2 linked regions of the Tribolium castaneum genome follow. The protein of the gene in region 1 purifies or fractionates together with the protein of each later gene. This does not show direct contact. Links are inferred from orthologs where the notes say so. Each region holds a gene or a part of one and is shown in the gene's direction. Other genes may lie near its edges.

The links.
Region 2: the proteins of proteasome assembly chaperone 2 (region 1) and proteasome subunit beta type-7 purify together in Homo sapiens (affinity purification with mass spectrometry; 3 studies listed by BioGRID and IntAct, counting the BioPlex papers as one, with this or other methods). This does not show direct contact. The link is inferred for Tribolium castaneum from reciprocal best matches to the Homo sapiens genes PSMG2 and PSMB7.

What each region holds. Positions count from the first base shown.
Region 1 is NC_087394.1:29,412,963-29,415,909, forward strand, and holds proteasome assembly chaperone 2, read left to right. Parts: upstream 1-1,541; 5' UTR 1,542-1,642; coding exon 1,643-2,368; 3' UTR 2,369-2,428; downstream 2,429-2,947. Other genes in the region: uncharacterized protein LOC100142369, read right to left, coding at 1-37, 87-278, 327-460, 508-721; zinc finger protein OZF, read left to right, coding at 2,577-2,711, 2,761-2,947. UniProt on the Homo sapiens protein: Chaperone protein which promotes assembly of the 20S proteasome as part of a heterodimer with PSMG1.
Region 2 is NC_087398.1:8,316,546-8,319,644, reverse strand, and holds proteasome subunit beta type-7, read left to right. Parts: upstream 1-1,433; 5' UTR 1,434-1,534; coding exon 1,535-1,593; intron 1,594-1,678; coding exon 1,679-1,858; intron 1,859-1,909; coding exon 1,910-2,498; 3' UTR 2,499-2,561; downstream 2,562-3,099. Other genes in the region: uncharacterized protein LOC659493, read left to right, coding at 844-926; rt (protein O-mannosyltransferase 1), read right to left, coding at 2,615-3,099. UniProt on the Homo sapiens protein: Component of the 20S core proteasome complex involved in the proteolytic degradation of most intracellular proteins. This complex plays numerous essential roles within the cell by associating with different regulatory particles.

The sequences.
Region 1 (2,947 bases):
AACTTGTTGGTTTCATAAAGAGGAATTTTCCGGTATTCTACAAATAATAAGTGAATTAATTCCTGATGGTTTTGTGCCTAGTTTACTTTAAGTTCTTCCTCCAGTAAGTCATACTGCATTTGCTGGACGACTTGACTTGCATTTTCCCGCTCAAAATCGTAAACTGCGCCAATTGATAACTTTTTGTAACCACTCAGGTCGACAAAAAGCTGGAGAATGGAAATAATAGCAGTTTCTTTATTGGACTTGTAGGCGTCCATCAGCTCAATTGCGATGCTCTAAAAGCGATAAAATGTAGTCAGTGTAACAAAAACTGTTACCTTTACTTCTAACTGGTCAGGTTGAGTCATTATTTTAAAATAAAGGCTCTCTTCATTTTTTGGTTTCAAGGCGCTCCAGAAATTCTCCCATTTGAGAGGTTTTACAGTTCGATCTCTAATGATCGAAGCTTCTGAAGGAGCTACAAACCAGTTATGTTTATGACTATATATTTGTTTTAAACTTTACATTCGGACGGAGATGATGTTCCGTAATCGATAGTTCCACTTGTGGTATTATCGTTGTTGTTTTCATCTCCCATCGGTTCTTCTCCCCTTGAAATGGTGGAAATACTTGGGGAAGAGACATTGGGGGACCCACTCTGAGGTGTGCTGGTGGCTCGGGTGTCTTGAGATGCGCGCTCGCGCTCATCGGCACGTAAAATTCTCATTAAATGAGACATTTTTACACGAAAATAAGCAAGAAAATCACTTGAGTGGTTTTTACCGCCAAGAAAAAACGTTAGGTGCCCACAAATTGTGGAGCGGCTGTACCAGATTTGAACTGGCCAATGGAGTGCAGGATTCACCGGCCATGCTGTGAGCGCTGCCAACCCATGGTATTATGTATTTAAAACATTTTCAAAGTATTCCGTTCCTCTCAAAATAATTTGCGAATTTTGCATTCGTACCACGATGAGGATGTTGAAAGTTCAGAAATTTTGAGAATATTGGAATGCAAGGTTGAAATGTACCGGCCGTTTTGAGAACAGTGGAACCAACCAACACAAATTAAAACGTGGGAAAAGTCTTGTTTGTGTCACCTCTAATCTCTGTGTGTGGTCTGTGGTTTGTGTTTATTATTTTTTCACAATTTATACCTACGGCCTTAATCTGTATCTACGGTAAGTACAACAGTAGTCTTATTGCTATTGCTGTTTTTGTGTGGTGGGAAATTAAAGAATGAACTTGTATTATGTGGAGAAAACTAATACAAATTAGGACCTCAAAAATTTATTAGAATTAAATAAGAGTGTTTCTAGATCATTAATGGTTTAATTGATGGTTTATTATCAATTTTACAATTAATGGTGGTAGAAGTGTGGCACGACTGTTTTTCTCAGACATGTGATACCTCCAATATTAGGAGGCACTTTTATCAAGACATTTGTGCTTACATAAAGCGATTAGAAATAAAATGAAAACAAAAATATTTAAAGATTGTGGGTGCAAATTTTAAAATAAATAATAATGATAATGAACTTGGGCCGCATGGGGTAATGCAGGTGCCTGTAAGCGTCAACTGTCAAAAATTATTTGCTTGTCATTAACCTTACTTTTCCTATTCAAAATAAACATTTTTGTGGCTTGTGAGCATCATAATTATGGCCGAATTATTTAAATTCAGCCAAAAACCCAACTTGGAGGGCTTCACTTTACTGATCCCCAGTGTTTCCGTCGGGAATGTGCCCCAACTTACAATCGACTTGCTGATAACATCCCTAAATTTCAAGAAAGTGGCCACTATCTGGCACCCCGCCATCGTTTCCTCCGTGGGATCGGACCCTTATCGAACAGACGGGCCCGAAATATGCACAGCATGCGAACTATACATCAAGGAAGATTTAAAAGTAGCCCTTATTCAACTGCGTTCAGCCATAAATGCGAAACTCGCCACCAAGTTCTTCACAGACTTGAAAAACTCCCTCACGCAGTTTAAAATCAAAAGCATTGTAATTCTCGCAAGTTCTTTTGACTACGAGTTGCATGTGGTTAGTAGCAACAAATTCTACTACATCAGTAACCAGGAAATTACCGATGTGATGAAAAGCTTAAACGTGAAGCCGAAGGAAGTGGAGTTTAACGGCAAATACTTGGTCCACGGATCTGGGTTTGCAGTCAAGTTATTTGAGGTGTTGGAGAGTAATTTTGAGTGTACAGTTTTGATCAAATACGTGTCAGAGGGTGACAACAGACCTGACGCAATTGCTTGCATAAATGTGTTGAACAAGTTTGTTAACGGCTTTACAAAGTGTAATGTGACGGAGATAAAATTTCCAAGTTCGTGGAATTGTGTCTTTGGGGGACCTCCACCTCTAGGGATTTATTAAAAAAGTGTATATATTTATTATAATTGTTTTTTGCATAAATATACTTTTTGAGTATTATCATTAGTTCGTTTTTTTAACTTTTGAAGAGAAATTTAAAACTTGCTAGGGTTTTTCGCGGCGTCATAGTGGTGACAAGTCAAAAACATCAACAACTTTAATCATAACCTTAGATTTACGACTATTTAAAAGATAGGTTTTTTGCGATAAAATGGATTTTAAGTGTCGTTTTTGTTTAATTAAAACTGAACCGGGCTCCTCTGTCAACCTTTTTGAATCTGGCTTTGTTGGACGAGGTAATGAAATTATCTGCGATGCAGTAATGAGTTTTGCACCAGAAGTTAAAGTAATTCTTTTCTGTGAGTTTCCTTTATATTTGCTATGCTTTTGTGCAGATTTCTCCTGAAGATGATTTCCCACAGTCGGTGTGTAAAGAGTGTCTCCACAAACTAAACAGTTGCATTGAATTTAGAACATTGATAATAGCATCAGACGCTAAATTAAAAAACCAGAATATAATAATGAAGCTTAAGGAAGCAATCACTTCTGCGTTAAGTTTTGAAGAGCCTACTCAAGAAGAAA
Region 2 (3,099 bases), on another chromosome or scaffold:
CTCTCTTTAATATTAGTGGCTCAATAACTGTGGGTGGGGTCCTACTTAACCATTTCTCCATTTGTTGAAACTTACTAATTACCCTGAGGCTGGTATTTTCGGTTTAGTTTCAAAAATGTGTAATTATGCGCTTTTATTGATTTGCCATTCAAAATCTAGTGGAGGTGGGGAACAAAATCATTCATCTCAAAGAAAAAGTAATGATTTGGTTCCTGACCCAGAAACAAACATGCACAAAAAGTCTTACTATAATGATAGAAATTTCTATTATGTACTTAAAAATCACATAAATGCTATTGTAAAGAGTTTATATTTTATATATTTACCAATATTAGAGACTGTTACATTATAGATTTTTAAAACTGTTACTTATGTACTTTATGCTAGTTTTAGAACCGCATAGAAATACATTCCGTCCAAGATGATCTGTGTTTACATATTTTTAAAAATAAAACAATCATGTTTCATATTAGACATTTTTTCTGTTTTCCTCTTATTATTATATTACACCAAGTACTAACCATTTTTCATTACAATTTAAAACAGGTAACACCAGGTAAGAATTAATTTTCATTATTGTATGAATCTAATAATGCTTTCACCGCACTTAAACAATTGTCGCTTCCGTGCTGTAGTGCGATAATGCTTATGCTTTTTTGGCTGCTAACTGTTGGTTTCATTGCATTCTCAAAAAATGTTAATCAGAAGATTGTGTAAAGCATGAACTCATCGTCACAAACGTGACAAGAATTATAATGCATTAAAGACTTAAAAAATTACTTCCCTTTAATGTTTTAAGTGTTTACTAATTATCCCCCCAATTCTTACATTTTTATTTTACAGGACCATGCTTGATTTGCTTCTACATGTCAGATCGTAATGTTCAGGCTCACACTGACGTTAATCCAATGCATTACCCCCTGTAATTCACACTTTCATAAAATCCGTATTGTTACACTGGTTTTTGGTCAAATAAGTTAAAGTATTGTACTATTATTTTATTAAAAATATAGATAACAACGCAATACTGATTATTCTCAACTCCTTAAAGCATTTGCCGACGTTTCCCTAATGGTGGCAATTTGTGAAGCAATATCTTTTTGCAATGCCTCCATTTCATGTTTTAAATTGTTGAGTATGTTAGAACTTTTTTCCAAGTCCTGCGTACCTTTTAGGAACTCCTCGATTCTCTCAAACTTGGTCTCTCTGGGGGGCCTCTCATCCAGACACCAGTACAGCTTACTCCTCTGGTCTTCGACCCTATAAACGGCCTCGATGTCATCAATTACCTGCTGCCGGGTCATGGAGAATTTATTTCTTTGTGGAACTGTGCTACTTCTAAACATTTTTATGATTTTAAGTAGAACAAAACAACGTGCCCCCTTATCACGTGACTTACGTCATTTTGTGCCATGTGACATGCCAACACCATTTTTGGTGCTGTTTTCACCGACATCCAAGTGACAGCTAAAATCCCTAGAATTAAAATTTACGAATCATTTTGCCGACTTGTCTCCCATAAACAAAGCGTAAAATGTCGGTTTTGTGCCCCGAAATTGCGCCCCCAGGTTTTTCATTCGCCAACTGCAAGCGGTAAGTTTACAAAAACGTAATAGTTCCGCTTGTTTGTGAAATTGTGACCCGTGTTTTGCCTTGTCATCAACATAACCTCTTCCAGAAATGCTACCCTCGAAAGTAAAGGCTTTCCGGTGCCCAAAGCCACCAAAACCGGGACCACAATTGTGGGAATCACTTACAAAGACGGGGTGATTCTGGGGGCTGACACCCGAGCCACAGAAGACACCACCGTGTCGGATAAAAACTGCGAAAAAATCCACTACCTCGCCTCCAATATGTAGTAAGTGTTGTTAACTCGACCACCGACGAGGGTTAAATTAATTAAACGTAGTTGTTGCGGGGCTGGGACTGCGGCCGACACGGAACAAACCACCCAAATGATTTCCTCGCAACTCGAGCTGCACCGTTTGTTCACCAATCGAACCCCCCGAGTGGCCACCGCCAACCAAATGCTTAAACAGTACCTCTTCCGCTATCAGGGGTACATTGGCGCAGCCCTAGTTCTTGGGGGAGTGGACGTCACTGGGCCCCACTTGTATTCAATTTACCCGCACGGTTCCACAGATAAACTGCCGTACACTACCATGGGATCAGGCTCTCTTGCCGCAATGGCAGTGTTTGAGTCGCGCTGGAAGCCCGATTTGGACGAAGAGGAAGGGGTCAAGTTGGTACGGGATGCTATCGCCGCTGGTATTTTCAACGATTTGGGGTCGGGGTCTAACGTGGACGTGTGCATAATTCGGAAGGGGTCTGTTGATTATCGCCGCACTTACGACGAGGCCAACAAAAAGGGGGTCCGCCAGTCGTCCTACCAGTACCCCAAAGGGACCACTGCGGTTTTAAAAAGTAAAGTAATCAAGGTTGATGTGGTTGACGTTGCCGTTCATCCCATTGAGGCCGAACAGATGGACACGGCTTAAATCAATTAAATGTTTTTCACATAAATACATTTATTCAGTTCATAATAAAATATATAAAAATGATTAATTTGTTCAATATCAATATGAGTATCAAATTTGCTGTCATGGAACAATTGCTAATTTTTATGAACTATGAAGTCCCAAGTGTCTTTCCATCTCAGATCAATAATGTCATTTGTAGTTAACGGGGTTGTACCATAACACAATACTATAAATTTCATAAAAACGTAAAATATGCAACAAATCCATAAAAATATGAGTAATATAAAAATATACTTTATGACCCTAATTTTAAAAATATCACTAATTGTTGAATAAACGTGTTCAAGCAGGGCCGCTAATAGCAGCGTTTTGAACGTAAATGCGGGCAAATAGTGGTGTAGAAAGAGCGTCCGCTCCACGAAAAAATACGGTAGATAATGGAACAAATAGCCTGTAAAAAATAACTCTCCAATCAACTGAAATTGTTCCCATTTTTTCGTATCAAGGTCGTAACACTGTCTCCGTCGACGAAGAAGATAGAAGACAAGTAGAGTTGAGTAGGTGGCAAGGCCGGCACTTCCGGAATACCAGAGCAAGAGATTTCCAATTAGATGTATTT